Canis lupus familiaris: one gene and its partners. The protein of the gene in region 3 interacts with the protein of the main gene of each other region in a pairwise test. Links are inferred from orthologs where the notes say so. Each region holds a gene or a part of one and is shown on either strand. Other genes may lie near its edges.

Region 1 (8,453 bases), on a different chromosome or scaffold from region 3:
AAAACATCATTTGAAATTCTGATGCATCTCAAATAAATTTTTCATTTTTATTAATAAATTTTTTTCCGTTAGGCTCCACACCCAACATAAGCGACTTGAACTAGAGACGAACCCTGAGATTGAGTCCTATGCTCTACCCACTGAACCAGCCATGTGCCCCCAAATTTTTAATTTTTGAATTTGCAGAGACTAGGTTTATAATTCATCATTCTTTCTGTGAGCACCTAACATAATATATGTAAATTTACTGATTGCTAATTAGGTAGGTATATTTTAATTCAATAAATTCAGAGCATTCACAAATATCCTAGGTGGCACACGTAGTTCTCTCTTAATTTATAGAAAAGATTGACAAGATCACCTTAGGGTCTTTAATCTTCTTAGAAAGATTTTTTTTTTCAGTGAGACTTTTCCTAAAAAAAAAAAAAAAAATTTGGGGCAGCCCGGGTGGCTGAGCGATTTAGCACCGCCTTCAGTCTAGGGCGTGATTCTGGAGACCTGGGATCAAGTCCCACATCGGGCTCTCTGCCTCTGCCTGTGTCTCTAGCTCTCTCTCTGTGTCTTTCATGAATAAATAAAATATAAAAAAAAAGGGATCCCTGGGTGGCGCAGTGGTTTGGCGCCTGCCTTTGGCCCAGGGCGCGATCCTGGAGACCCGGGATCGAATCCCACATCGGGCTCCCGGTGCATGGAGCCTGCTTCTCCCTCTGCCTGTGTCTCTGCCTCTCTCTCTCTCTCTGTGTGACTATCATAAATAAATAAATAAATATACAAAAAATATTTTATTTATTTGAGAGAGAAAGCATGAGTATGAGCAGGGGGAGGGGCTGCTTAGCCAACTGAGCCACCCAGGTGCCCATTGGTGAGCATTTTCTTAAACACCTCTGAAAAGGTTGGTGTTTTTTGGTTTTCATTTTTTTTTTCTTTTCATAGTTACTACTGCCATCTAGTAATCATAGTATATAATTCACGTACTTATTTTGTTTATTTTCTGCTTCTGGCAGTAGAATGTAAGCTCCATGAGGGCAGGGAGATTTCTGTGAGCTTTGTTCACTGCTGTAGACTCAATACCTACCATCATGCTACAGAATAGATATTTGGTAATTATTTGTTGAACAAATGAATGTAAAAGATCTAGCAGATAGATTGTGCCTCCCATCTAATTTTTTAAAAAAGATTTTATTTATTTGTTTATTTATTTATTTATTTATTTATTCATTTATTTATTCATGAGAGATACAGAAAGAGAGAGAGGCCGAGAGACCTAGGCAGAGGGAGAAGCAGGCTCCATGCAAGGACCCCAATGTGGGACTTGTTCCCGGACCCTGGGATCACACCCTGAGCCAAAGGCAGAAGCTGAACCGCTGAGCTACCTAGGTGCCCCAAAACCCAGGGCCTCCTTTGTTTTTTCTTCTTTTTTTCAGAATTTATTTTTTTAAGTAATACACCCAACATGAGGCTCGAACTCACATTCCCAAGATCAAGAGGCGTGTGCCCTACTGAGCCAGCTAGGGGCACCCCCTATAACCGCTATAGTGTTAATTGATTCAGGCAAGCATCATCCATAGACGCTAAACCCACAGAGTGAAAGATTCTTGGGGAAGGATACTCACAAAATTTCAAAGTACTACCCCACAGGATTTTTTTTTAATTTTTATTTATTTATTATAGTCACAGAGAGAGAGAGAGAGAGGCAGAGACACAGGCAGAGGGAGAAGCAGGCTCCATGCACCGGGAGCCCGACGTGGGATTCGATCCCGGGTCTCCAGGACCGCGCCCTGGGCCAAAGGCAGGCGCCAAACCGCTGCGCCACCCAGGGATCCCTTGTTTTTAAAATTGAAGTGAAATTCACCTAACATGAAGTTAATAATTTTAGAGTGCACAATTCAGTGGCATTCATACATCCACAATATTGTGTCACCACCATGTCTTTCTAGTTCCAAAGCATTTTCATCACTACAAAATAAAACCTTATATCCATTAAGCTCTTGCTCCTCATTTCCCCTCCCCCCAGCCGCTGGCCACCACCTATCTGCTTTCTGTGGATTTGCTAATTCTAGATGTTTCACATAAATGGAATCATGCAATACAAAACAGACCTTTTGTGTCTGGCTTCTTTCCCTTGGCATAATGTTTTGAGGTTTATCCATGTTGTAGCATGTATCATTCTTCTTTTTCTTCTTCACTCTTTTTATGGGCTGAAAAATATTTCATGGTGTGTGTATACTGCAATTTGTCTATTCATGTGTTGATGGATACTTGAGTTGTTTCTAACATTTTGGCTCCTGTGATTATTACTGCCATGTGCATTTGTGCACAAAGATTTGAGTACCTGTTTGCAATGGTTTTGGATATATACCGAGGGGTGGAATTGTTGATAATTCTTTTTTGTTTTTTGAGGAACTGTGAGGCTGTTTTTGACAGTGATTGCGCCATTTTACATTCCCACCAGCAATGTACAAGGATTCCAATATCTCAATATCCTTAACAAGACTTATTTTCCATTGATTTATTTGTTTTTTTTCATTTTTATTATTATTTTTTTATCTATTTGTTTTTAAAGATGTATTTATTTGAAAGGGTGAGAGTGAGTGGGGGAGGGGACAGAGAGTCTCAAGTAGGATCCCCACTGAACGCTGAGCCTGTGGGACTCAACATGGGGCTTGACATCCGGCTTGATCTCAGAACCCATGAGTTCATGATCTAAGCCAAAACCAAGAGTCTGACACTTAACCGCTTAACCAACTGGGTGATCAAGGCAACCTTTATTTTCTATTAAAAAAACATAGTCATCCTAGTAGGTGCAAAGGGGTGTCTCATTGTGGTTTTGCTTTGCATTTGTCTAAGGAAATTGAGCATCTTTCATGTACTTGTTGGCTATTTGTATATCTTTGGAGAAACGTGTATTCAAGTCCTTTACTCGTTTTGAACATAGACCACTTTTTTAAGTAGAAAAGAATAAAAGCTGGCCTTACTATAGAAAAATGATTAAATGTAACATCACGAATAATGAAACAAACTGACATCATTTCCTTTCTGTTGCAACATACTGAGATGGACACAATATCATCCATATAGCGTACTTGCCAAAATTATTTAACTTGACTTTAACAGGGAACAGATGACTACAAACTGAGGAACATCCTGCAGAACAGTGAATTGGATTCCTCAAAAGAAGTCAATGTTATAAAAGAGAGAGAAAAAAAAAAAAAACCCAACAACAACCAGGGATTATTCTAGACTAAAGGAGTGTAAAAAAGACATGGCAATTAAATGTAATGGACGATTCTTGATTGTATCCTGGATAGGAAAAAAGTCAGCTACAAGGGACATTTTGAAAATGTGAATATGGCCTCTGTATTAATATTAAATTTTCTTGGTATGATAATGGAATTCTGATTGCGTAGAATATCCTTGTTCTTGGTACTTATTGACATGTTAAGGGTAAAGAGTAACGATGCAAAAACTTCAATAATTCAGCAAAAACGAAACAAAGGAACTTCCATAGGCACACATACACACAAGGAAAGCAAATGTGATGAAATGTTAAAAATCGGTGCATATGGGTTAATACGGGTGTTCATTATATTTTTCTCGTAACTTCTCTGTAGGGTAGATCTTTTTGAAAATAAAAAGTTGAGAAAGTACTTAACTAGAGAGAACAAACTGATGGTTACCAGAGGGGAAGTGGGTGGGGATGGCTGAAGTAGGTGCCGGGGATTAAAGAGTCCACTCCCTCTGGGTGATTAAAATAAAAACTTAAAAAAAACATGTTGAGAAAGTAAAAGTTCCATCAAGTCTGAGCAGCGCTTTCAGTTCTTTGGTTTTAGCATCTTTAGGATCAGACTAGTTACTTTGGTCAGCTAAGAACACAGTCGTAGAACCAGAGAGAGTCCGCGGTGGGGCGGATATCTTTCCAAGACACTGTAATTACTTAAACAAACAAAGGAAGAGAGTGCAGTTGTCATTCGGACCCACTATCAGCTTGATTCCCATCTTTATCAGGCGGCATGATCCATGGAAAGGCTTTGGAGTCAGCTAGGCCTGAACTTGCACGGTCCCTCCGCAAACTGTTCAACTACTTTGGACGTCGTCGCCTCCTCGCTGTAAGACGTAGGCAACAACTGCTTGGTGCGATTGTTGTGTTAAATCGTCAGACGCTTGGTGTTTGGCGAGCTGGGCTTTAATTCAGGTGCAAAGAACCCAACAAAACAAAACAACGACTTCATCACGCTTTCCATGCCGTTTGCATCTTTTCCCTCATTACGCTCCAAGCCCGCAGTGGGGTTAGGTGAGGCGGAAGGAGGAGAGGACTTCCCCAAGGTCACACGCTCGTGCGGGTCCCAGGTGTCCCCGCTCCCGGCCCTGTGCCCTTTCCACAGCCGCCAGAGGGGAGCGGGCGGCGCTCATGGGGATGCAGGGATGTCGGGGAGCAAAGGGGGCGAAGAGGCCGCGCGAAGAGCGGTGGTGCGAGACCCGCGGGGGCGCCGGCCGAGGAGGGGCGCGCGGGGAGCGCGGAGAGGCGGGGGGCCCGGGCCGCGGTGCGTGGGGCGGAGGCCGGGCGGCCGCGGCCGCGGGGGCGGGGGGCCCCGGACGCGGGGGGCGGGGGGCGGGGGGCGGGGGCCGGGCGGCCGAGGGGCGGGGCCGGGGGCCGGGGCCGGGGCCGGGGCGCGGGGGGCGGAGGCCGGGCCGCAGGCTGCGCGGCCGGGGCAGGTGGGCGGGGGGCGGGGGGCGGGGCGGGGCCGGCGGGGGCGGGGCGGGGCGGGGGGCGGGGCCGGCGGGGCGGGTCTCGGCGGCCCCCCGCGGGGAGCAGCGGCAGCGGCGGCGGCGGCGGCGGCGGCGCAGGCGCGGTGGCCGCCTCCTCCCGGCTGGCGGAGCGAGTGGAGGAGGCTGCAGCCCGGCCCGGCTCGGCTCCCGCGTCGCCGCCGCCGCCGCCGCCGCCGAGCCCCCCGCCCCCGCTCGGCCGCGTCGGGATGAGCTCCCGGAAAGGTGAGTGGCCCGCGGCGAGCCCTCCTCCCCGCCGCGCGGCCCCTCCGGCCGCCGGCCCGACCGTTAATGGGTGTCTTCTCTTTCCCCAGTGCTGGCCATTCAGGCCCGAAAGCGGAGGCCGAAAAGAGAGAAACATCCGAAAAAGTGAGTCCGTGCCCCGCGCCCCCGGGCCCCCGCCCCCCCGCCCCCGCCCGGGCAGGGCAGCCCGCGGCCGCGCAGGGGAAAGTTGCGGGATCCCGGGGTCGGCGGGCTCGTCCCCCCCCCACCCCCCGGGGACGCGGGCGCTCGCCTCTGCGCCCCGGCGGGCGGCCCGGGGGGAGGGGCGGGCGGGCGGGCGGGGGAGGGCGCGTGCGGGCCCGCGGTGCCCGGCCGAGCACCCTGGACCCTCGGACCCCGGACCCGCTCCCGCTCCCCCGGCGGCCGCCCCTCCCTGCGCGCCGCCCGCCGGGGTCGCTGGCGTCCCCGCCCCGCCGCGCCGCGTGCGGGCGTGAGGCTGCTGCTCGGCTCGCACCTGGGCACCGGCGCCCGGGAGCCGTGGGCTCCGCGTCCTCCGCGTCCTCCGCGCGCTCCGCGTGCTCCGCGTGCTCCGTGGGCTCCGCGTCCTCCGCGTGCTCCGTGGGCTCCGCGTGCTCCGTGGGCTCCGCGCGTGTGTGCGCGCGCGTGGGGCCGGCCTCCTCTTCCCCCCCGGCTCCCCGCCTCCCGGCCTCTTTGCGGAAAGCCGGAGCCGGGTGTCCAGCGGCCGGCCCGGGGGTGCCTGGCGCCAGCCCAGCTCCGAGACCTGAGCGCGCCGGCGCCCGCCGGGTCTCCAGTCGAAACTTTGCGCTCGGGCCGAGCCGCGCTGCGCCCCCGCCGCCCCGGGAGCTGGCGGGAGGGGGTCCTGCTGGAGCCGTGCCAGCCCCCGCCCCGCCCCGCCCCGCCCCGCCCCGCCCCCCAGTCCGCGCGGACCCGAGGGGGAGCCTTTCCTGGAGAGCCGCTCGGAGACCGCGCAGCGCCCCCGCCCCTGGCTTTCGGCGTCTTTCGCTCCTGGATGCGTGGCTTCTCCCTTCCTGTGGAGCGAGACACACTCCGTGGCATTGGGGGTCTTGTAGGGAACGGCGGCCCGTGATCATCCTCAGGACCGGGTCTCGGGGGATCGCCCTGCGGCGTTCCTGGGCTTCCCCCTCCTCGGCGCCTTGGTCTCTTGCCTGCAGAATTTCCTGCCCTCCCTGAACACTGCCCTGAGGCCTCACCAGCGCGGTGCTGCTATCATGACAATTTTTCTGTTCACTCGAGATGGGATAGGGCTTGTAAAGCATTTTCAGGGTTTTCCAAAATGGGCATCTCGCTATAGTTAATGCCTTTTCTTGGAAGACAAAAAAAAAAAAAAAAAAGATTATATTAGAGTGACGGAAACATACTTATGAAGGAATTGAGGAACTGGTGGGTAAAAAAAAAAAATCTGATACTGGATTCTTAAAAGGTGAAAACGGGATGGACGCGGTAGTTGGAGATGCTTTACAAAATGACTTGGCCAGCTTTCAAGTCAGGGCCTTAAATTTGGGATTTCCTTTGAATGTCGGAAGATGAAGCCCGCGAGTAAGGAAGAACTGTAACGTTTAGGATCCTGAGTATTGGGTTTTAAAAACAACCTTAAATACAAAGCATTTATTTTCACATATTGCATTATGTTTAGAAATGTAAAAGGGAATTGGAAAAAAAGCGCGTCCTCGGTTTTGGGAATGGCTATGTGTGTGTATACACGTATGTAATGTGTATGTTGTATGTGGGCATGCGTGTAGAAAAGCAGTTTTAGTTAACTAAGTCAACACGTATTTCATATTTTCATGTTTCAGGGAATGACTATCCTAATGGCCAAGAGCCTTTTTTGGTCTGCTGCAGTTTGGATTTATGTGGTATGTTTATAAAGAATTAGCGTATATCCACAATATCCAGTTTTTGCTCTCAGAGATAACTGTACCTATGTGGTAAGATTTGAGGGAAAAGCCCCCCAGGCAGTGGCAGAGTGACTTGAATGGTTTGCAAGGTAATTAACAAGAGACCAGCCCAATTATATAACAGATTAATGGGGTGCCATTTTTTGCTTAATTCTTTGAATTAAGACACTATTTTAAAGGAATGCTTGATATGATTTATTCACATATTCAACAAGTATTTGCGTGCCTTTTCTTGGAGTTGGTGATGGAGCTTTGAACAAGAAAGTCAAAGCTCCTCATGAAGGTTATATTCTGTGGATATTAGGGGGACCACCTAGGAAGATGACAAATCAGGATGGCAACTTCAGGTAGTGCTAAGGGATAGGGACCAAATTAAGATGAGGTGCCTTAAGTGATAGTGATGACATTTGAACACTGCGCCAGGCACGGTGCAGATAGCTTTACACACCTCTTATCCCTTGTGACAACACTAGAAGGTAGGCACTGTTATTAGTTACCATTCTACAGATGAGCAACTAACATTTCCAGAAACTAGAATGAGGAGGAGGAGATGGGAGTGTGGCAGAGGCCTTGGGGAGGACTGGACTAGGAATGTTAGAAGACCCTAAAGGTCAGGGTGACTGGAGTGCTGCTGGAGAAGGTGGGGCCATGGGAGGATGAGAGCAGGTAGGGCCTTGCCCTGTAGGCCATCAGAGGATTACCCATGGGAGTGACAGGGTCGGTTCCTGTTTTAAAAAGAGCACTGGCCATCTGTGGAGAATGGATTGTCAGGGGTAGGGAGAAGTAGAAACTGGGAGCTGGCCTTCCGTCTATGAAGGAAACCATGGTGACTTGGTTCAGGGTGCAAGCAGTGGTGCTAGAAGTGGTGGAAGAGATTTCAGGAGAGGCCTGCTGGTCTGAGAAGTCCTCATTTTACAGTCAGCCCTGACAGAGGTGATAGTCTGGACCAGAATTCAGGTCTCCTGATGCCCAGTGATTTTATTTTTTCATTAATTCTCCAGTGGAGGAAAAGGAATAATAGGTCTAATTTTAAACCATATAAATAAAAAGATTGGCGAACCTAAATTGTGTAACAAACAACACGGGCCTGGTTTGATGTAATATGATCTACTTTTGTCATTATCCACTTGTATACACAAGCTGACTCTTCATTTTCATTCAATTCATTTCTGTGAGCTTTTATGAATTGAGCCAGTTCCCATAGGCTACTTTTTTAGTACGCTGGAATTTATGGTTGTCAGGAATAACATTAAGATTTCTCTAGTTAGCTGAGTCAAAAATTTAATCTTGTCAGATTGTTCCAGTGAGTTTAGTTTGCTAATTATTAATTGAGCTGCTTTGTGAGTAACATGCAGCAGGGAGGGATGACAGTGTCAATTCAATCGTGAATCTCAAGAATTAGCTAAATCATATGGCTTGGGGTAGTGTTGCTTTGGGGCATGAATGAATATAACATTTTTGAAGGATCTTTATTTTTTGTATGTATGTAACTTTTTCACTAAGACAATTCATGTACTAAAAGATTTAGCT
Region 2 (8,013 bases), on a different chromosome or scaffold from region 3:
TATCTTTATTTCTTCTCATTTTCACTATAATAATGCTTCATCTATTAGACCTCATTGCAAAGCAGTATTCCTCATTAATAAATTTCCCAAATATTCTTTTCATTTAGTAATTTTCGATGAGTCGACATCAACTTAGTAGTACACAGAATATAATTTTTAACTTCAGGTCACATACTTCAAAGGCTACACTATGATGTTTGGGCACACCTCACTAAGGAATCAGAACAATTTCCTGATATACTGGGCCCCATGTGGCCAATTTTTACAGAGAATGATTCTTGTTCTGTGCCTTGGACTTATACCTTGTGGTAACTTGCTGAGTCCTATTAAGTCTCCCTTTTGGAAGGTCATGAATGAGTAACTTTAATCTGTACACAAAAGTAAATGAACTGGCTCTAATTTGAATAGTTTATCTTTCCTGAAAAATAAAGAACCCAAACAGTCATTTCCATTACTACTTGGACCTTGACCTTTCGTACATTCTTAATTACTTTTGTGTTTAAAGCTGTATGTCAGTCTAGACGGTTAGAGGCACCAGGAATCTGACAAACAATTCAAGCAGTAGTACTGCGTCAGTAACCACGGTCTCCACAACTGGGGGCCTAAACTGGAAACAGCGTGGCTATGTTCAGTAGTTCAAAGGACTACTGGAAATCTTTGCTTCGCATCCAATAAATAACACAAAGCTAAAAAGATCAGGTCTCTTTGCCACACCAATAAGCTCATGCTCATCACTTCCTCTAATTTTATTTATATCTGACTTTAATTTTTAAAACAAAAGTTTATCGATTACTGCTTTTCAAAATGTATTTGGTCTAAAGATATGAAAGAATAAGGGTTAAAAAGGGGAGGGGGCACTTGGATGAGAAAATGTGGGGAACCGCAATAACATTTAGATTATTTAAAAAATAATCATACTCAGTTTTCATAAAAATCCAGGCTAGTATTCCCCTTAACTGCACCATAATAAGTAGGTCATATAATAATTATTCCAATAAGTGCTAACATAAAGGAAGAATGAAAACTACTTTCTTGCATTGAATTTGGGTCACTTACCTATCCATTAAAGCATCTTCAAGTAATGGTGTTACAGCATATATGTAGTCCTTTCCCATTTCACCAATATATTCAAACAAGAAGGAAAGTGATTTTAACACTCCATTTTGAACATTCAGCTCAGGAACTCTGTATTCATTCATTAAGGCAGGTAGTACCGTGAAGGGTGAACATGTTTCGGCGACAATAGCTATTGCTACAGTGGTACAAACTCTGTTCTGCCTTTCCTGAACTTTGAGGTTGTTTAAAAGTGTAGCCAATACATCATGAGGGCTGAAAAAAAGCAGTATGTCAGCAAACTGTCAGATTAAGTATCAAATCTTTTTTTGGAAAGAAAAAAAAAAAACGCAAAGGAAAAACTGTACATTAAACAATTACTGGGAACTTTGTAATTTTATGATAAAATATAATACTCTAAAGTAATTTGGCACTGGCATTTGTTTCTACTGAAGAACGTCATTTATTTTTTTTAAGATTTTATTTATTTATTCATGAGAGACAGAGAGAGAGAGAGGCAGAGACAGGCAGAGGGAGGAGAAGCAGGCTCCATGCAAGGAGCCTGATGAGGGACTCGATCTCAGGAATCCAGGATCAGGCCCTGAGCCAAAGGCAGACGCTCAACCACTAAGCCACCCAGGCATCCCAATAATTTCATTTAAATTAAAAAATCTTTTGAAGAAAAAAATTTAATGGGTTCATATTTTTTAAATGTGTTTTACTTAAGATTTTGAGAGAGAGAGAGAGAGAGAGAGAGAGAGAGAGAGAGAGAAAGAGAGCGCACGCACAGATTGGGGGGAGAGGGGGAAACAAGGAGAAGCAGGTTCCCGCTGAGCTCCCAGCTGAGCCAAGAGCCTGATGTGCGGGTCAATTCCAAGACCCTGAGATCATGACCTGAGCCAAAGCAGATGCTTAACCGACTAAGCCACCCAGGCGCCCGTGGATTCAGTCTTTAATGAACTTCCTAATATAAAGAAGCTTAATTAAATGTTTAGACTGAACAATTCTAGAATGGTCAAAACATGGCCAGTAGAGCTAGGCAATATCCAAACTGTGGTCTCTCATGCCCCAACACACAAGATCTACTTTCCTTATCTTCTCTCCCATATACCTTATTACATACGTATACTTCTTCCAGAATTTATTTTACCACAAACTTGGAAAGACACGGGAGCTAAAAAAAAAACATAAAAGCTACTCACTGCAAATGTCTTGAATATATCACTGCTGAAATAATTACTGCTACCAAAAAGAGGGTGAAGGGGTGAGGACTCTAATTAAGCTGACTTTTATTATGTTTTACCGCTTGAAAATATTGTCAAAAAAAAAGAAAGAAAAAGAAAATATTTTGTCATTAAGCCCCATGTATACATGGTATCTCATTTTCTAAAATGACTATTTTTTTCTAGTTTGGTTCTGAGGAAGTGGAAGTAAATAACCATAGATTATCTAACAGTTACAATTTCAGTTGTTGGTGGATTCATCTTAGATAAATATTTTTAAAACACAAAGTATTGGGGTGTCTGGGTGGCTCGGTCTGTTAAGTGTCTGCCTTTGGCCCTGGTCATGCTCTCAGGATCCCAGAATCAAGCCCTGCATTGGGCTCATTGCTCACTGGGGAATCTGCTCCCTGCTCCCCCACCCACCCCCGCCCTTCCCCCAACCTCATGCTTGCACTCTCTCAGATAAAATCTGAAAACAAAATAAAACAAACACACACAAAGCATGAACATGAAACTTAAATTATGCTATTTTATTAAGAACTGGCCATAACATTTTTAAAAAATATCCTGAAAAAGACCAACAAAAATTTGGAATGATTCTAAAGATGGTACCATTTTCCTTTCTGAAAATATCTGCGGTGTGATTAAATTAAAATATAAGACTCTCCATCTAGGGGTGCCTGGGTGGCTCAGTCAATTAAGCGTCTGACTCTTGATCTCAGCTCAGGTCATGATCTCAGGGTCATGAGATTGAGCCCCAAATTTGCTTAGGACTCTCTCTCTCCCCCTCTGCCACTCCCCACCGTGCTTACTCTCTAAAAATAAATAAATAAATATATATATATATACTTTTTTTAAAAACCTAAAGCTCTCCTATTTTAATTCAATTTGAAATTTAAGAAAACATCTCAAATATTGAAGGTCATCGGTTAAATGTGCTTTTTCTCAATTGCATTACTCATACCATGCCCTTTAGAGATTACTTAAGAAACAAGTTTTTCAACACAATGGGTTTATTACAAAGTTAAAAACATATGTATAAAAGTAAGTAATACTCACCCAATGGCCTTTGCAATGTAGCCAAATGTGTTGACTGTGGCTCTACGAATAGCTTTTTTGTGAGCTTTTAAGAGCTCCAGAAGTTCAAAGCAAATCCTCATCCATTCTCTTGCAGACACATACTCAGCTCCCCTATTTAAAAAGAAAAAAGTTAATTTGTTCCATAACAAGAAATTTTAGAAGGTAATCTTACAAAAATTCAATTCTCAAAACATGATTACCTACTCAGTTTAAGCATTAAATAAAAAAATGTTACTCTTCAGAAAGGATGGTTTAATCTTAAAACTATATTGCCACCTCTTCATTACCATCTAAATTGAAATTTCACTGAAAATTTCACTGGGTAGTCTTATCATATATACTTCTATTAACAACATTAAAGAAATGTGCAGTGAATAAAAAGTGGCTAACTGTTAAAACCAAAAGCTCACAACCAACCAAACAGCTCATAAAAATGTTTAAGTAATCTACTTACCTGTCAGCAATACGTCCAACAAGATCAATACAATTTTCTTGTACTTTTTCATGCCTGTTCTTTAAGATGGGGGTGAGTCTAGGCAGGAGATCTTTAATTGGTGGGGTCATCTTATGCATACCTATTTAATAGAAGTCAACACACTATCAATAAACTCTTGAACAATACCCTTTGTTCATTTTACCTTTTACTTAGCAATGTAATACACATGACTAGGCATATATATAAACTTACAGCTGCCTATGGAAAGAAAAAGCCCCAGATTCTGACCAGACTCAGTATTGTTTTTAACTTTTTATTAAAACTTCTGATTATGCATAGAAATGAAAGAAATTAGTGAAGTGATTTAAAGAATGATGGGATACTCAACAACAAAAAAAAGTTTTATCTGGTTCTGAAATGTATTTGTACACTCACATTTAAATATGGGGACAGTTTATGTTCCGGCCATACACAACAATATAAGCCAGAGGTAGACATGTAAATTAAAGCAAAATTTTCCAGGAAGGGCCCCCTTACCCTTTAACTGCAAAACAAACAGATCTCCAGTCTCCCTGCAATGCAGGGCATACTTGGATGGTATTTACACCTATGAAGAGAGAAAAAAGGAGGCAGCTGGCAGGGGCTCTTGCTCTAACTAGAATTGCTTGTTCTGATTCTCTCTCCATTGCTTTTCCCATGTTTCCCTGATCAACAATATGGTTTACAACTCCCTGAAAACCAGAGCCCCACAAGTGGCCAAGTAACTGATTTTTGGCAAATCAAGTATAGAAGACAGGGCTAGATTGGGGGTTATATGTAAATGCAATGGTTCAAAGATCTCCTACATTGCATAAAAACCCCTTACTAAATAAAATGAGAAAAAGTGGCTCTCACAGCCAGCTATTCTGACCTCCTGCTAGGTTATTTTGGCTCCTCTGAACCAAAGAGAAGTTACTTTCCCAACAGTCATGTTCAATTGCAATGAAAGATTAAACACAAGAGACCATTTGTTTGCTTCATCATGATGTCCTTAAATAATAAAATCTTCGCTCTCCATACCCAAGAGCATTTGTAATATACTCCTATCTTTACTTTGAGTTTGAAAACTGAATGGATAAAGAATTAGATATAAAAATGAGACCACAACTTGAAAAATTCACTTTCTCCCTGGTTATGTTACTGGAACATAATAGCCAACAGAAAAACCTGCCATAATCATTTACTAATTCAAGGTTAAATATATATTTTGTCCTAAAACTAAACTAAAACTTCAGCATTGTCTCCTCCCACCCTACCCCCCAAATACATTTCAGGTGAGAAACTATTTTTATTAGGATTCTCTATTCCATTGGACTTCAAAGTTTTTTGAGTTGTAACTATTCCCACTTCTCTTACAGTCCTAAACTTGCCCTCTTTTCTCGTTTTAAAGTACATAAATGAGTTTTAGGAAACAAGACTATTGTGACATCCTGACTTTACTCTAATTTTAAAGTGCTTAAAAAACAAAATCTCAGAAATCACTCAACTCCTAAATATAATTCTATATTTTACTTTCAACAAAAAAGTTTAAAAAACAAAACAAAAAAATTCTTACATGACCAGCAATTTCCATACCTATTACATTTACAATGGCCTTCAGTGCTCCCAGAATGCTGCCCAATACTTCAGGGTACTCTTCACCCAAATATTCATACAAAACAACACCCAAGTGCCCCATCAACTTTTCCTGTAATAATAAAAAAAAAAAAAACATGTTAAAATGTTACCATTTACATGAAACTATATGGTGAGGAAATAAGAACCTCATACAAAAGTTTACCTCTTGACAAGTCTTCATGACAACAGCAGTTCGAGAGATCAAGTCAGCTGCCTGTTGCCTGACTTTTGCTGATTTGTTATTTAAACGCCACAAAACTGTACCACAGATCTGAGGCAAGTAAGGTTTGACTCGTTTGCCAAGAGCATTGACCACTGTGCCGAAGCCATTCAACATTACTGAGTCCTAAAAAAAAAAAAAGCTGAGTTATATTTTTAAACTATATTCACTGAGAACTAGATAATTCCGTTTGTGATTGAATAGTTTAAAAATACTAATATAACAAAATGTAATCTAAAAACTTAAGTAAGCGTATTTCCTCAGACAACTGGAATGAGAACATGAACATTTAAAACATTTTAAATCCAATTACATTTTAGTGATAATTACTTGCTTGAAAAGTAATGTGTTTTACAAATATGAAAGTCAGCAGCAATTTGCCAAAATAATTAGTATCCTTACCTCTGTAGTCTGTTCTTGGAAAGCATAAAGAATACCATCAATCAGCTGTTCTTCAAGTTTATGATCAATATCTGCTGCTCCCAAGTTGCCCATAATTTTCTCAATTGTCTCCATCACCATTTTTCTGTACTGTTCAGCTTCATCTTTCAGATCATCCACAATTCTGGATATAATTTCTGCCGCACCTACTTTGTTTGCCAACTCCACAGTAGTATCAACTAACTAAAAAGAGAAGGAAAAAAACCTTTTAGATATATTCAGGTCTGCAAAAATGCTGAGAAGAGTTAACTCCGGTTTTAAAACCCTTAAGAGAAAGGTGACCAAAAAACATAAATGTGAGTAGAAGTCAAAGTGATTTAAGGTTAGACTGTAATCATGTATTCCTAGCCAGATTAAGCATTTCATTTAACTGACAAAGACATTAATTCATAGTTGGGTATTTATCCTAGGATGCAAAATCAAAACGAAGTTAAATGGTTGACTAAAATCAATTTCCTTTCACAATCAGGCACATACTATGAGGTAACCAGGAAAAAAATAATACGTTAACATTTATTCACTCTGACTGAAGAATTAGTTGAAAGCATTTTTTAAAAATATTTTTTAGGGGGGATCTCTGGGTGGCGCAGAGGTTTGGCGCCTGCCTTTGGCCCAGGGCGCGATCCTGGAGACCCGGGATCGAATCCCACGTCGGGCTCCCGGTGCATGGAGCCTGCTTCTCCCTCTGCCTGTGTCTCTGCCTCTCTGTCTCTCTCCGTGTGACTATCATGAATAAATAAATAAAATCTTTAAAAAAAAAAAAAAAAAAATATTTTTTAGGGACGCCTGGGTGGCTCAGCGGTTGAGCATCTGCCTTTGGCTCGGGACGTGATCCTGGGATCCTGGGGTCCGGGATCCAGTCCTGCATCAGGCACCCTGCATAGAGTCTGCTTCTCCCTCTGCCTGTGTGTGTGTGTCTCTCATGAATAAAGAAATCTTTAAATAAATAAATAAATAAATACATACATACATACATACATACCCTTTTTAAAAAGTGGGGTCCATGACCAATGTGGGACTTGAACTCACAACTCTGAGATCAAGAGTCACATGCTCTACTCACTGAACCAGCCAGGCACCCCTTGAAAATATTTTTTACAATAAAAGTTTACCTGTCGGTAATTTCTTCTGTCCAAAGCCATTCTGTGTTGCCAGAAGTGTTTAAAAAAAGGAGGAAGAATCTCTGTTTTAATGTAGTTTGCTTCTACACCATCTGTTCCACAACACTGCTTCACCACCTAAAAGGTTAAAAAATAATAGTAAAATTGGCCTTGTAACACACAATAGTTGTTTTAACATTAACATTCTCTTTGAACCATGAAACACACCCAATTTACAGAAACAAATACGGGACAAAAATTTGAAACAATTACCTTCAGCACAATTTTCTTCATTTCTTCATCAGGAGATTGAAATTCTCGAATAAGGATTAACATCACTTCTCTAGTATAGTAGTTGGCATATTCTGCATCCATAAGAGGAATAAGATACCCAATAGCCTTTAAGAAAGCAGCCAAACCCTATTTTAAAATAAAAAATACATATAATTAATAAATTAGATTTAAGTTGCCTTAACTTCAGTGAAGAAAAATCAAAAGAAAAATAAAATCTATTTAGTTAACCAACCTTTCCTCTGTGTTGGCGGATACCCTTCCACAGAGGCTTTAACACAGAATCAAAAGATTCGATACCATATGGAGTTGCTGCTTCAGCCAAGGCAGCAATGGCCAAAGCGCTAATGGTCCGAACTTTCTGTTGCTCATCCACAAGACCTAGAAAACCAAACAAGGGTTGTAACTATTAAGTGATAACATTTCGTAATTTCCACAACCTCATCATTTAATCAAACTGCAGAAATCTGTTCACATTAGTCAAAATGAGGCAAAAGCCAGTGTGAATCACAG
Region 3 (8,013 bases):
AGACACAGAGAGAGAGGCAGAGACACAGGCAGAGGGGGAAGCAAGCTCCAAGCAGGGAGCCCGATGTGGGACTCGATCCCGGGTCTCCAGGATCACACCTTGGGCCGAGGAGGCGCTAAACCACTGAGTTACCCGGGCTGCTCCTAACCCAACAGGTCTTAAACAAAACAAAACAAAACAAAACAAAACAAAACAAAAAAACAAAACAAAACACCATATGTGGGAGGGGGGGCACCTTTCCAGATGTTTGGCACAAAGAATCTATTAATGCAGGAAACTATTCCTCCACTTAACCAAGTTTACTTCACAACCAGACCTCTTATTGAAGAACTTAGGCCAAGTGGTCATCTATCATGCTGCCCAGCAGTGAAGCCCAAGGCTATCTGGAAGCAGTAGTAGGAGCACAAAATGAACAGGAGGCCTGGGAGGCCAGGTTAGTGCCTAATCCGAGCAAGAGAAAGCCATCAGTCTGGATCCATCAAAGCAAAACCTACCCTACCCCCCCCCCCAAAAAAAAAAGCAAAACCTACCTTTCAGGCATGCTCGTATGTAGTAGGAGGTCTAATGGCAGATAGGAGATAGGAAAGTAGCAGTCACAGTAGCCAGTGTGGAGTACAGTGGGGGCGGGGGGGGGGTACTAACTGCCGTTTCCTTGTTGGAGCCTCCCTACATCTAACTGATCTCATTAAGTATTCACTCTTCAAGGGGATCTTTTCATTTCTTTTGCATAAACACTACTCAGCACCTAGCCCAGAGTCCACATGGGGGACCTTAAAGGAAAACCAATGGTAAGAAAGACAATCTCACAACATCTTAAGTTACCAAGAGGAATGGGGGCAGCAGCACCAAGTTGCATCACAACATTCCTTCCCCCCCATCAGAGAGCAACCCTGCAGGGACCAGGGATCAAGTGGTGCAAGACCTGCTATTAGAACCAGCCCCAAAGGACTATTCTGGAAAGGAAAACCTCTTCACTGCCAATTGTGAAAACGCTTCTGCTTCAACAGGACCAGCACTCACCGACGTGTGAGGGTCTGGCTTCTAGAGCTGCCACTGGCCCTACTTCCCCATTTCCTGGTTTCGCCCCAGCACACCCTCTCTGCAATGACCTATTTTTACCTCAAAAATACTGATACAAAGATTCCTGTAGCTGCAAATGAACCTATAGACACATGGTCCTCTCTGCCAGGAAAAGGATAACCCTTTGAAATGGGGCTATATTTACAAATTTTATTATTTTTTATCCCAAAAATACATATAAATGAAAACCTGCTCTTCAAATGCAGGGAGGCCTTTGCCTATAATGTAGTATTACATTTACATCACAAAACATTCTCGTATGAAAATCAGTATATGCAGTTCTTTCACTCACACTTTTATGTATACACACACACACATACACACAGTATATGTAAGTAGTTACGACTTTGCTACTTACACATATTCCTCTGATGGGAAATTAGGAAATAGGGCAACTCCCTTGCTTTCCAGCCTTGGGAAGGTAAATACAACCTCTCTGAACATTTCTTAAAAAGATGAAATGTGTAAACTACACAACCTCCTTTACACATATACAATGCAGTTAGAATAAAACAAGGACCCTGCTACATAGATGCCACTGTTTTGAAAAGAGGAAAGAGATAATGTTTGAATAAAAATGCAAAGTTGAACAGATAAGATGATCAAAATTGTTATGCACATGCTCTATGGAAAAATCAGAATTGTCTCACAAGGAAACAGATCCATGACCCATTTCGGCCTCTTGTGACGTTAAATCAGCACCCACTGGCAGTAGCCAGGATCTTCCTTCCTGTACAGTCGTATGCTTAAGCAGTTTCCATAAAGCATTTGTTTAAGTCCAACAGTCAATAATGAGGTCATGTGGTAAATTCCCACCCCCCCAAAAATGAAGTGCAAAATCAACTTCTGTGACTCAAGAGCTCAACCAGGTCAAAGCTTTGGTATATACTGGAGGCTGTTTTGGTGACAACCAAAGCTTAGTATAGGATTCTCTGTTCAGGGGTTTGCCCCACAAACAAAAACAAACCCAGTCCACAGAGCTTAACAACTATATAAATAAAGTAACTGTACAAAGAGAACAAGCCACAATGCCCCTTGAACCAAGGGTTTGTAGTTTCCTAGGCGGCAGTTCTGAAAGCACCAACTAAAGCCACAATGCTTCTACTGAAACATGATGTGTTGGTGACACTGTTCTGAAAACAAATGCCCACAGGCAAGGGGCTGATGTGCCACAGAAAAAAGTTCAACCAAATAGAAGTCAGTTTTCTTATACTATAACATAAGATGGTCAGCAACAGAGGAAAGACTTAAGGCAATAAGAGGCAATACAGAGAGCACCATGGTGCTCTGAGTCAATCCCAAAACCTTTAAAGAAAGAAAGGGTCTCAAGAGTTTGGGCTGTTTCTTAGTTTGCTAGCTGTCAGATACTTCCTCCTCCTCCTCGTCATCCTCATCTTCTTTCCTGTCTACTTCAGAGGTGTCAGAGGACTCGTGAAGCAGGACATACTCTCTGCTGCTGAACCCAAATTTAAGTACATCTTTTTCCTTTAGTTCATAGTATCTCTGTGGCTCAATACGCTTGTTGTTCAAGAACGTTCCATTGCCTGAGCCAAGGTCAATGATGTAGGGCCTCACCCTTCGGCCAACTGTCCCATCAGCACGGGTATATTCCACAAGCCTAGCAGAGATAAAAGAGAGAAACTTGTGAGCAAAATCCCATTTCAGACCATCCAACATTTCGCTAACACAACCAAGATGATATAAATTATCTGGCTTGATACAGTTCAAGTCCAAACTCTAGGAAACCAAGGGGCAAGTACGGCCCTGGATTTGGAAATTGGGAGTAAGTAAGTAAATATACTTAGTAGAACTGCTTGCTAGGGGGTAGGGGAAAGTCATGGAAGACCAAAAGTTTAAAAATCAGAATCCAAGATCTCTTGCCACGATTAAGAAAATACATATTTGTGTTGTTTACAACCAAGATAATGCTTCTTTCACCAGTATTTCAACATATTTTAGCTCCTGTCCCAATGAGAATAAAGCAGTGGATTTTGACTTCAGAGTCAAGGGAGCTAATTTTGAACCAGATCATTTACTAGGCTCTGCTGAGCTTCAGTCTTCTTACTTGTCGAATGGGGATATTAACAAGTGACCTGTCCTCCTCATAGGAGTGTTGTGAGGATCAAACAGTAACAGATGTCCTACACAAACTGTCAAATACAGATTAACAAGCACACATGCCAGACACTCTCAGGTACACTTCCATTTAACCCTAAAAACAGCCCTATGAGATAGGGAGAAACTGAGGCCCAGAAAATGGCTTGCCCAGGCCAAACACCTGGAAGGTGGCAGTGGCAATGGCAGGATTCAAAATCTGGATTTCTGACACCAAATGCGACGCTTTCAGAGAAATGGAAGTGATTATTCAAAGGGCAGTTAGATCGGTACTCTTAAGACCAAGATTAGATCTGAATATGGGATTCTTCTGCAAATACATGTACACAAATGTCAGTAATCCTGAAACTCTCAGCTCTGCCCACGCTTCTGATTTTTCCCGCAAACAGACTCACCGATACTGAAAGACTGCGTGCTGCTTGGAGCAGGAGGGATGATCAATTGGGATGTCCGCTATGCGGCGGTGCCGGCCCAGGAGGTAGGCGCTCTGCCGGTGGATGTACATGACAGGAAGCACCTCGTCATTTTTAAAGGGGTAGAGGCGCCATCGTTTTTTGGGGATACGTGCCTCTGGGGGCTCACTATATTTAATGACGACACCCCGGAAGGTGTTAGTGTCCTCAAGAAGTGCCCCAGAAAGTTCAAAGCTTGGCTTTTCTTTAGCGGGTGCCTCTTTGTCCTTACTGTTGCCACCAGGCCGAGGAACCAACTCCTGAGACTCCTTACCACCAGCATTAACTTCATTCTTCTGGCGATTCTCTCGTCGTCGGGCATCGTAAAACTCCCGCTCTGCATCCTGAGCCTGTAGATTCTGAATGTCTCGGTCCCGTCCCTGAGCCTGCCCGCTCCCAGGCCTCTCGTTAGAGCTTCTCCTCTGGTGGGAATGGCCCCTGTGTCTGTCGCGGTCACTGTTCCTAGCCCGCCTGTGCTCCTGGCCCGATGGTTCCCGGTGCGGCCGTTCTTCACGTCCTCTCCGGGGATGATCCTCGCGTTCCTGAAATCCAAACAGATCCAGTATATATAAGGCAGTCCACACTCTGAACAACTGCGTTCAAAAACCCATTTGGGACTTGGACTTTGGCATTTAGAGCAAAATATCCGACAGAAATAAGGTTAGCAGTGATAGTTATATTCCCTTGCAAGGCTACATAGACTATTTCCATGCTGTCACCCGACTACAGCTCTAATGCTGCAAGCCCAGGTTCAGAGCCCTAGAAACAAGAGGAGCTGGGGCACACTTATAGGGAAGCATATACAGAAAATATAACAGAGTTAAGTAGTCATGTACAAGATAAACATGTAAAGAAAAAAAGCTAGTTTTCTCTTAAATCAAAATGAAAATGTAATGATATTAAAAGATCTCATTGCAACAATTAACAGAAATTGTTCAATAACTAGTATTACACTTAAGAAATATCCAAGACATGTAATAAGAAACCTATAAAAATTTGCCGATAGATCTGAAAAAAATAATAAACATACTATGGTTTCTTGAAAAAGACTCAGTATTGAAAATCAGCCTGGTAGAAAATGCAACATAATAACATCTATTAATAGTAAAAAAATAAATCAATAAGAAAGACAATTCAACAGGAAAAAAAATTGGCAAGGATAGTAACAATTTTCCTAAGAAATAAATATCTAAAGAACACACGAACATAATAAGCTTATCCTTACTGATAACCAAAGCATCAGAGTTCAAGAGGGAGCCCTACACACGATGAGCAAGGCTACCCCACCTGGAAAGGGTAAAGAGGAAATCCTGAGCATTGAGATCTCACTGCCTCCCCTGCTCCCAAGGCCTTATCCCTGCTACACACAGGTGTCAAGTGCAGGACTGCTTGCTCAGAGCAGAACTCAAGTTTTCTAGACTTCCTAGCCTCCAAAGACAAGCATCAGATGCTCATTCCTCCGACCTTAAGATACTCCCAAGTTTGCCACCACCACTGACCAGGACTAATCTCATGATTCCCTTTATCCCTGATTAAATGAGTCACTACAAGAAGCCACAGACTCTGGGTCATCACCCTCAACTCCCTTGTATTCTAATCCCCATAAGGCTCTGTACATCCACTATTCCAACAACCAACTGATTCTCAGTCTTCATTTTAAAGATGTAGCACCTGGCTGGTTCAGTAGGTTAAGCGTCCCACTCTATTTCTGTTCCGGTAATGATCTCAGGGTTGTGAGACTGAGCCCCCTCCGTGGGGAGGTCTGCAGGAGACTCTCTTTCTCTGCCCGCCTCCGCCCTGCTTCGCACACTTTTGTGTGCTCTCTCTCACAAAACAGTAAGTAAAAATAAATTTAAAAAATGTGTAGACCAGGCAAAATCAGTGAAAACTATGGAAAAGAATATGACAAACTGGGGTGCCTGGATGGCTCCGTGGCTGAGCATCTGTGTTCAGCTCAAGTCATGGTCCCGGGTCAAGTCCCAATTGGGCTCCCCACAGGGAGCCTGCTTCTCCCTCTGGCTATGTCTCTGCCTCGCTTGCTGTCTCTCATGAATAAATAAATTAAGTATTTTTTTAAAAGACAGATATATGGGATCCCTGGGTGGCACAGCGGTTTGGCGCCTGCCTTTGGCCCAGGGCACGATCCTGGAGACTTGGGATCAAATCCCACATCGGGCTCCCGGTGCATGGAGCCTGCTTCTCCCTCTGCCTATGTCTCTGCCCCGCCCCCTCTCTATCATAAAAAAAAAAAAAAAAAAAAAAAAAGACAGATATATAACCGGATAACACAAAATAACTAAGATTTCAATTATCAGTAAGATAACATATATAATATGGTCCTTTTTTTTAATTAAAAATTTTGCATGGAAAACAGAGATGCGTAACTAAAACATAAAGGAAAAAAAGCGAACATAAGCATAATAGAGCCTTGAAGTATACATATCAAACTACTGAAATGGTTGCTGATGGGGAGTCAGGTGATTTGGGGGGAGGGGGCTGTGATTTTGGGGTATAACAGAAGTAACCATGCACTACATACACCACACTCTCACTTTTCACTTTATGTACTTCTTTGTTATTACAATGAGCATGCAATCAATAAACTTATTTTTTAAATAATAATAATAGTAAACATTTTTTAAATGGTGGCACAGGTGTGGAGAGAGAATGTCTGCAAGCACAAGTCATGCTCCGGTCAGAGGATGTGTGCATTCCTCCTTAGGATTAGCCCATGTGAAAGTCACTTACTGTCAACTGTCTGTCAAGCCCTTTTGCTTGAAAGCCATTTCCAAGTTTTCAGCTGATTAACACACAGAAATTAGCTTTTAAAGAGATAATTTGAGGTCAGGAGGAAAGTAGCATAGATACGCAAATGAAGAGACATCAAGGCTGTAATAAATAAGACAAATTGTCTTCTAAAAGCCCTAGAATTTATTATAAAATTTTCATTTAGAAACCACAGATATAGAGCTGCCAGTTGTACACCAAAAACAAAACAAAAAACAAAACAAAAACCCAAAAACTAAAGCCACCACTAGTGGTGGACAGGCCCCATTTGGGTGGTGTGGTTCTGGGGGCTGCATTCTGAGATAGCTGAAGCAGCACCTGATCAACTCACACTGCACACCACCAAGGCTGTCTGGCTTTCTATCTTTGAGATATTATAAAGCTGGCCCACAGTCTCTCAAAGTAAAAGGAAAATCTGTTTTCTTAATGTCTCTTTGCACACTGTAACATAGAGTTTCTTTTAAAAGACTGAACCCTTGTCTCTCAAGATTGAGGGCAAAAAAAAAAAAAAAAAAAAAAAAAATGATTGAGGGCAAAGCAAGGGTTGTCTGCTCTCACTACTCTCATTCAACACAGTGCGGGAGTCCTAGCCAGTACAATAAGGCAAGACAAGGAAATAAAATGCAGACTGTAAAGGAAGAAGTAAAACTATCCCTATGTGAAGATATGATTGTCTATGTAAAATATCTCAAGAAATCTATAAAAAACTCGCCTGGAATAAATAAGCTGAGTTCAGTGAGGTCATAGGATATAAGAAAAACATAGAAATATCAATTATTATTTCTACAGATTAGCAATGAACATGTGGATTGAAATTTAAAGTATCACCTATAGGGCACCTGGGTGGCTCAGTGTCAGTTAAGCATCTGCCTTCAGCTCAGCTCATGATCCTGGGGTCCTGGTTTCGAGTCCCATGTCCCACATCAGGCTCCCTGCTCAGGAGGGAGTCTGTTTGTCCAGCTCCCTCTGCCCCCTCCCCTCTGCTCATACACACTCTCTAACAAAATCTTTAAAAAGTAAGATATCAGTTATAATCAGCTCCCCCCCCAAAAAAAAACTTTGTGTAAATATAACAAAATATATAGAGAACTTAAATCCTAAAAACTACAAACACTGAAGAAAGAAATCCAAAATCTAAATAAATGACTTGAACAGTGTTCATGGAGTGGAAGATTCGATATAATAAGCCAATTTTCCCCAAAACATAACTTCCTGCAATTTCTATCCAAATCCTAGCAAGATATTTTTTGCAGATTGAGACAAGATTGTTCTAAAATTTACACGGAAAGACAAAGGAACTAGTATAGCTAAACAATTTTTAAGAAGAAGAAAACAAGAATCCATCTACCCAATTTCAAGACTTACTATGCAGCAACAGTAATCAAGACTGTGCTACTGGCGGAATGACAGAGATCAATGGAACAAAATAGAGAGGAAGCAATAAACCCACACACATATTTCCGACTGATTTTTGGTGAAGAAGCAAAAGCAATTCAAGGAAGGAAAGACAGCTTTTTCAAAAAATGGTGCCACAGCAAGTGAACATTCATAGGCAAAAAAATGAACCTCAACCCAAGGC
Region 4 (7,052 bases), on a different chromosome or scaffold from region 3:
GTCCAAAAAATGTATGAAAGTCTATTTCAAACCCCCCAGAAGTCTTACAAAAACGGTAAAGCTAAAAATAACCAAAGGTCCCTTGTACACCCCCGAGGAAAAGGGGAGGAACCAGGCACTGCTGGTGAGAGTCACAGTGGCAAAGACCCCAGCGGGTGGCTAAGCCCAGGCCCTAGAGGCGTGATGGGCAGGTGACCGATGAGACACCCAGTCACAGGACAGAAGCACCAAGGGCGGACTGGATGGGCCGAGGGAGGAAACTCAACGCGGCCCCCGCTGCGCGCCCTACATAACATCCACAAAGAACTCACTGGGGTTACCCATGGCCATGTGGAAGCTTTGGCGGCTAGCTGTCAGTTCTGGGGGCACAGAGCCCAGGTCTCTGACAGGAGGGGCCCCTGGGGGCTGCACTGCTGGTGGGACAGGGGGTGGAGGGGGGGGCATCATGACCACCATCATGGGATTATAGGGGAGGGCCATCCCCGGGGGTGGCCCATAGGGATGGAGCCCAGGGTGGGCTCGGAGATTGGGGACACCCCCTGACGAGCCTCTGGAAGGGGGAGGGCCCCCATCACCAGCCCCACCCGGCTCCCCGCCCCGCCGGAGGCTGCCCCCACGGCTGGAGGGCTCAGACTCACTGCCGCTGCCGGACTTGGACTCAGGGGCCCGTTCCTCGGGCCTCCCTGTACGGCCTGCCCCCCCATCGCTTCGTGTTGACCCACTGCTCCGGCTCCCTGTGGAGGTGGAGGGGATGAAGCCGCCTGAGCCCTGGCCCAGTGTCCCTTGGCCTTCCTAGTTCTCTGGGCCATGCCCACCACCAGCGCTACCCGCTGTCAGACCATGACTTACCCTCGCTGTGCTGGCTGCTGGCACTGCCGCCACCATAGGTGTAGGATGACAGCTCGTGGTAGGGGGGCGGCTGCGGGCTGTATGGGTGTGGAGTTGGGTACTGGTAGGAGAAGGTGGGCAGCAGAGGCCAGGGGGTCGCCCCAGGCAGAGGAGCCAAGGTGTCCTGGTCTGAAGCCCCACTGGAGCCATCGTTGTCATTCAGAGACAGGTTGACCAGGTCTGGAAAGCAAAAAAGGAGATGGAGAGTCACTGCTTCAAGAGGCTGGGATGTCAGGCATCGCAGAGGAGCTGATTCCCTGAATCATGCATGATGGAGGTGAAGACAAGGGCCTCCGACAGGACACTCCTCGTGTACCACGGCCATTGCTCCCAGGGCCACAAGTACCACATGCTCTCGTGAGACTCCAGAGGAGATAGCACCCCCTCTCTGCCCGGGTACCCCAGCCCTGCACCCAGGGCCAGCCTGGCCACAAAACACAGGGGGATATTGTTGGCCAGGGCAGGTCCCAACGCAGGACACACACTGCTTAACAGTGGCCCTGGCTGGCTACTGGAGGTGGAACGAGGCAGTGGGGACACGCAGACTTACAGCTCTCACAGCCGCCACTGAGGTCTCCGAAGACGTAATAGCACTGCTCAGAAAACGTGATCTTGTTCACAGTGTGGCGGATGAGGCCCGCCTTGAGCAGCCCGCTGGCATACTTGCGGGCCTCCCGCCGCTCGGGAAAGCCCTCCACGTGATGGTAGAGCCAGTCGACCACGTCCGAGCCTGAGATCAGAGAGCACTCAGGTTCTCCTCTCCAGCTCCTGCCTCACCCCTGCCTCACCCCTGCCTGGGCCACCACTGCCACCTTATCTTCATGCCACCTGCCTGGGGCCCAACCATACCCAGAAAGGCGTTAGGGATGGTGATCTTGAGCCACATGCGGTCTCGAACTTCCAGTCCAGACTCCGGAGCTGCCATGGCCTTGGTGACAGATGCCATGTCCGTATGAATGGACAGACCCCGGCCCTCACAGCCTATCGGAGAAGAAATGAGGAGTAGAGACCGGGCCACACACTGCTGAAAGGCCTCCCAGGGAGGGGAGGGTGAGGTGGGCTGGGGGCTCACCCTCGGGCAGAGAAGACCCGGATGTCATGGTGCTCATGGACGAGGAGCCCGGGTAGGTGGGGAAGGTGCCAGTCAGTGCAGCCGAGTGAGACACCCAGGCAGCTGGGTCGATCGGCTGGATGGGCTCATCTGGGACAGAGAAGGTCCCCACAATGATCGTTTCCCTGCCACTCCCCAACTGAGACCCCGACCCCCATCCCACCTCTGCCCTGACCCTCCTCCACCCCTTCCTGTCATCCTCCTCCCCTGTAGCACTCACTTCGAGGAAGAGTGAAATAGGCCTGGGGAGACGGATCCCAGCACTTGGCCACAGTCAGCACAATGGGGCTGTGGGGAAGGGGAGACGCAGTCAGGCAGGGGCGGGGGGGATGGGGCGAGGCTTTGCGAGGGTGAAGGATGGACAGAGACACAGACAGACCAGGCTGGAGAGCTGAGCCTGGAGGCATCAGTGAGGGTGACCCACCAACACAGACAACACTAGAAATGAGGCTGAAACACAGAACCACACACACTCTATGTATGGGTCCATGCAGAGCCAGTCCAGGTCACAGAAGCTGAGCCCGCTGATCGAGGATGGGGACGGACACATGCACATGGACACACACACAAGGGGAGGGGAGGCAAAGCAGTGCAGTGATGACAGATGACAAAGGACACCAGGGCAGCGCTCCCTGCCAGGGAGACTGGTGAGGGGACTGCAGACTCTGGAGCACAACCCCCCAGCTCACGATCAGGTGGGGGTCATGCGGGCCATCCTCTGCCCCACGGTGATGTCACGTTATGGCTCAGCCCCTCTGGACACGCACCACCACGCCCATGCTAAGGGTGAAGCCACGGGCACCAGGAGAGCAGATGAGAGGTGGCTCACCCCGGCTTGTGCACGATGTCCCGCAGCACCCGCACTGCATCATCGTTGCTCATGTTCTCGAAATTCATGTCGTTGACCTGGAAGCCAGGTTGGCGAGTGAGTGTGGGTGAGAGCTTGTGAGACGTACCTGCCCCCCAGATCCCCCACAGGGCACCTGCAGCAGCATGTCACCCGGCTCGATGCGCCCATCGGCTGCCACCGCACCGCCCTTCATGATGGAGCCAATGTAGATGCCGCCGTCGCCCCGCTCGTTGCTCTGGCCCACGATGGAGATGCCCAGAAAGTTGTACTTCTCTGCAGAGCAGGCGCCCATGACAAGGAAGCCAGCCAGCGTTCCCCGGGGCCCCCGCCCTGGACCCCCAACCGGGGCCCCCTCGTACCCATGTTGAGTGTGACTGTGATGATGTTGAGAGACATGGTGGAGTCAGTGACGCTACTGAAGGACGAAGCCTAGCGGGGAGACAGGGAAGGCTTGGGTTGCCTCCAAGGACCCCAGATTCTCACTTTCTGGGCCCACATACCCCTGAGACCAAGGCTCCCTACGCCTGTAAGACGCAGCCATCCCGTGAGCTCCCCTCACCCTCTCCAGGCGGGGTGGCCGCTGTTTCCTCCGCCGCCGGTGGCGCTTGAGGAGGCGAGAGGCGCTGCTCTGCTCCGTGGAGCTGCTGAATCTGTCCGGAGGAGAGGAAGGGGAGTGCTGGCTGGCAGAGCAGGTGGGGGGGGGGGGGGAGGGAGGCAGAGACCAGCTTGGGCCTGGAGGACATCACCCGGTGGCGCTGGGAAGTGCAGGGCTGGGTGCCACACCTGCTCATGGTGTCATCCTCATCGGAGTCCCCCAGGCTAGTGCTCTCCAGCTCGCTGGTCATAAGGGTTGAGGAGCTCTCATACCCGGCCAGGTGGCGCTCCAGCCTCGAGGGTCCACCAGGCCTGTGGCCCCCTGCTGTGGAAGAATAGAACCTTCAGGGACCTGGCCTCAAGCTGCCTCCCCCATCACAGGGGGGCCTGAGCCCAGCCCCCAGCTCCTGGGCTCCTGGGCCCCCCTCACCACCGTGCTCACTGCTGTCTCTCCTACGAGGCCGTTCCCGCCGCAGGGACACCACTGACTCGGTTTCCGTCTCAGGCTCCAGGTTCTCCCGGCTGCTGGACACGTTAGGGCTAGGTGGACAGAGATGGCATGCGACCGCGTCAGGGGGACGGGGCTCCGTGTCCTCAACCTCCCCCTGCCCAGGGTCTGGGGTCTCCTCCTTGCCTCCCTCCCCCGGACTAAAGAATCCCAGAGACTCACTGGAAGGACGGAGGCCTAGAGTCCCCGATGCCGCTGGTCCTCTCCGGTGGCAGGGGGGGTAGCGGTGGGGGGGGCGGTGCCAGCTCTGCCCGGGGCTCGTGGGCTGGGGGAGCCATCTCGGGTTGGGGGTTCTCTGACGACACCAGCTGGAAAGATGCAATGACAAAAACTGACTCAAGCAAGGAGGGAGGCAACCGAGGTGGGAAGACAGGAAGAACACAGGGTCTGAGCAAGCACGTGGCCTGCGAAAAGCACAGGGAAAGCAGGAGGGAGCGGTAGATGCTCCAGAAGAAGGCTGAGGAGCTACAGCTGGCTCCCAAGCAGGTGGAGTGGTGAGGACCCAGACTGACAGGACCCTGGCAATGCGGGATGGACAGGGCTGCTTACCCAGGACACCACCCTCCCGTTGAAGCAGGGAAGGCGGGCGTTGTCATCTGAAATCTCCTCCTTCACCACCCTGCCAGGAGGGACAACACAAGAACCAGTGAGATCGCCCTAGCGCCCCCCACACGCACCCCGACTCGAGGCTTCTCATCTTCGTCCAGCTCAAGGACGATGACTTTCATGCAGCCGGCCAGGCCCTCTTCCCCAACACCGAGACACTTCACTCTCATGCCCCGGGAGTCTCCAAATTCACTCACCCCCTTTCCTTCCTCCTCCTCCTCTCCCCAGCTCATCCTCGGCTTTCAATGCTGGTCCAAAGATTTCCTATGCTGGTCCAAAGATTTCCTAGAGTCTGAGTCAAACCTCATTCTCCAATCTCAACGACCGTCCCACTCCCTCAGGTGACCCCAACTGCCCCAAAGATCTCTAACCTTTGGTGTCTCTAACAGCCCAGAATGACCCCAAACCTCCCTGAGCCCTACCCCGCTCCTCAAGGCACCGTCCCCAAACCCTCCAAAGTCTCTATTCTCATGCTTTCTTGGTTTTCTCTGAGTCATGTCCAAAGCCCTAGCCCAACATGCTACCTTTCCCCCACGAAAATATACCCATGAGACCCAAGGATGACACCTACTGGCTAGGCTGAGCACTCCCAAGGAGAGGTGAAGCCCACCTTCCCCTTCCCCCGGGGCTCATCTGGCACAAAATTCTACACTGAGCAACCTGTTCTGCCTGACGGACCTCAAAGCCCAGCCTTGGGGTCATTCCTCCCCTGGGTTCCTTGGGATGGACAGGACTTTGCCCCTTCTTCTCAACCACCACGTGGGATCACCACAGCCTATTCTTTTTTTTTCTTTTTTCTTTTTTTTTTTTTTTAATTTTTATTTATTTATGATAGTCACAGAGAGAGAGAGAGAGAGAGGCAGAGACATAGGCAGAGGGAGAAGCAGGCTCCATGCACCGGGAGCCTGATGTGGGATTCGATCCCGGGTCTCCAGGATCGCGCCCTGGGCCAAAGGCAGGCGCCAAACCGCTGCGCCACCCAGGGATCCCACCACAGCCTATTCTGTTCAACACTGCATCCTGGCCACACAGCAAAGACCCTGATGGTGGTAAAGTGAATGTTAATAAATATCTGTTCAATACTGTTAACGAGTATACTTGTTGAACAAGTATCTCATGAACAAACACGAGCTCTGAGAGACTGAGTATTGAACAGAAGGTCTCTCTCATACTCACATCCTCACCTCCAAATTAGGACAGCCTGTCTGATTAACCCTTTACCCTAATATGGTTCTAGGAGCCTGGATGCGTGACAACTTAATCCCACTTGTTATCGATAGGGCCACTCAGCCCAATCCCTACCACTGCTCTGTCTCGATATAATGCTGGATTCTTAGAGATGTAACCCAGTCCCGGCGGAGCCCAGCCCGGCAAATGATTCCACTCTCTATCACCATAACCCCGTTTACAGATTAGCTGAGCTCGACGCTAGCGATCATCACAACTCGCTAAAAAATTACTGTGCATCGCTTACCTATACGAAGTTTCTTGTGCCAACTGTGTCTATCTCCTGGGTCATATCATTGCTAACAAACAGGAATTTCGATCTAAATCAAAGGTAACTCCCAACACAGTCCCACCTTCCTCACGGCCAACGGTCTTTCTCAGTAGAAGCCAGTCCATTCAGCTATCCCAGAACATGGGCTGTCTCAGGCCAATCCAGCCTGCCTTCAAGAGCTGAGGCTGGCTACCTGGAGAACTCAGCCTCAAAAACCATAAGCAAATTTATTATTAAGAATCCAAGTCTGGCCCAGAATGACTCCAAACACTCCAGAATAGCCATATTGGGCTATTTTAGCAATGACCTACAACGTCTCCACACGCAGCCGTCCATACCAATATAGACCAGATTATCCCAATACAGCTGTCTGCACTGGCATAGCCTCAAAAACCTTGTCTGCCTCTCTACAGAGCGTCCCCATGAAACACTTGACCCCAACAGAAACTTAAGATCAACCAACACAACCCAGAAGAGACAGAAGAGCAGGAAATTCTTCCGAGAGAGCCTGGTAATCTGCTCCAAAGCAGCCTAGAACATCCCAACACACCCTTTTCTGCACCAGAACAGGCCAGATGTCCCCAAACAATCTTATCTGCTCTAGGATGGTCTAGAATGCCCTAAAGCACCCCAACACGGCCCAATCATCGGGAGATTCCACAATACTGCCCGTGGGCCGCAGGACTGCTCGAAAGGCATCGGATTACCCAGAATAACTCCCAAATAAACCAGTGTGCCCCATTCTATTCCAGGACAGCCTAATCTTTCCTGATCTGGTTCGGCACGGCCCGGTGTGTCGTCCTGGAGCTCCGTGCGTCTCGATTTGTCCAAGCGTAACCTTACCCAACCTGGGATGCCCAATCTAACCCCCGCATAATGCCCTGTCCAGCACTCCAGCCCAGAAAAACCCAGCGTGGCCTAGGGCCGACCTGTGCCCCTCAGCAGTGGCCGATCCACCGCCGCGCAGCCCCCACCGGTTCCAGCCTAGGCCTCGCGC

What was found.
Region 1: the proteins of SNIP1 (region 3) and SRPK2 interact in binary tests that used the Homo sapiens proteins (3 or more experiments, as listed by UniProt). The link is inferred for Canis lupus familiaris from reciprocal best matches to the Homo sapiens genes SNIP1 and SRPK2.
Region 2: the proteins of SNIP1 (region 3) and SF3B1 interact in a two-hybrid assay, tested with the Homo sapiens proteins (2 studies listed by BioGRID and IntAct). The link is inferred for Canis lupus familiaris from reciprocal best matches to the Homo sapiens genes SNIP1 and SF3B1.
Region 4: the proteins of SNIP1 (region 3) and DVL2 interact in a two-hybrid assay, tested with the Homo sapiens proteins (2 studies listed by BioGRID and IntAct). The two-hybrid records come from large-scale screens. The link is inferred for Canis lupus familiaris from reciprocal best matches to the Homo sapiens genes SNIP1 and DVL2.

The regions. Positions count from the first base shown.
Region 1 is NC_049239.1:15,284,308-15,292,760, forward strand, and holds the start of SRPK2 (SRSF protein kinase 2), read left to right. Parts: upstream 1-4,005; 5' UTR 4,006-4,010; coding exon 4,011-4,106; intron 4,107-4,393; exon of another isoform or gene 4,394-4,408; coding exon of another isoform or gene 4,409-4,541; intron 4,542-4,894; exon of another isoform or gene 4,895-4,973; coding exon of another isoform or gene 4,974-4,989; intron 4,990-5,078; coding exon 5,079-5,133; intron 5,134-6,821; coding exon 6,822-6,881; intron 6,882-8,453. UniProt on the Homo sapiens protein: Serine/arginine-rich protein-specific kinase which specifically phosphorylates its substrates at serine residues located in regions rich in arginine/serine dipeptides, known as RS domains and is involved in the phosphorylation of SR splicing factors and the regulation of splicing.
Region 2 is NC_049258.1:6,805,147-6,813,159, forward strand, and holds part of SF3B1 (splicing factor 3B subunit 1), read right to left. Parts: intron 7,882-8,013; coding exon 7,736-7,881; intron 7,630-7,735; coding exon 7,483-7,629; intron 7,348-7,482; coding exon 7,222-7,347; intron 6,293-7,221; coding exon 6,071-6,292; intron 5,795-6,070; coding exon 5,612-5,794; intron 5,519-5,611; coding exon 5,407-5,518; intron 4,400-5,406; exon of another isoform or gene 4,330-4,399; intron 3,932-4,329; coding exon 3,811-3,931; intron 3,468-3,810; coding exon 3,336-3,467; intron 2,228-3,335; coding exon of another isoform or gene 2,200-2,227; exon of another isoform or gene 1,776-2,199; intron 1,330-1,775; coding exon 1,057-1,329; intron 1-1,056. UniProt on the Homo sapiens protein: Component of the 17S U2 SnRNP complex of the spliceosome, a large ribonucleoprotein complex that removes introns from transcribed pre-mRNAs.
Region 3 is NC_049236.1:5,004,150-5,012,162, reverse strand, and holds the end of SNIP1 (smad nuclear-interacting protein 1), read right to left. Parts: intron 4,190-8,013; coding exon 3,591-4,189; intron 2,699-3,590; coding exon 2,434-2,698; 3' UTR 1,211-2,433; downstream 1-1,210. UniProt on the Homo sapiens protein: Required for pre-mRNA splicing as component of the spliceosome. As a component of the minor spliceosome, involved in the splicing of U12-type introns in pre-mRNAs. Down-regulates NF-kappa-B signaling by competing with RELA for CREBBP/EP300 binding.
Region 4 is NC_049226.1:32,401,499-32,408,550, forward strand, and holds part of DVL2 (segment polarity protein dishevelled homolog DVL-2), read right to left. Parts: intron 6,969-7,052; exon of another isoform or gene 6,032-6,968; intron 5,356-6,031; exon of another isoform or gene 4,755-5,355; intron 4,571-4,754; coding exon 4,501-4,570; intron 4,260-4,500; coding exon 4,114-4,259; intron 3,984-4,113; coding exon 3,874-3,983; intron 3,769-3,873; coding exon 3,633-3,768; intron 3,500-3,632; coding exon 3,409-3,499; intron 3,279-3,408; coding exon 3,209-3,278; intron 3,123-3,208; coding exon 2,983-3,122; intron 2,906-2,982; coding exon 2,829-2,905; intron 2,288-2,828; coding exon 2,220-2,287; intron 2,090-2,219; coding exon 1,961-2,089; intron 1,870-1,960; coding exon 1,738-1,869; intron 1,619-1,737; coding exon 1,439-1,618; intron 1,069-1,438; coding exon 850-1,068; intron 735-849; coding exon 286-734; 3' UTR 1-285.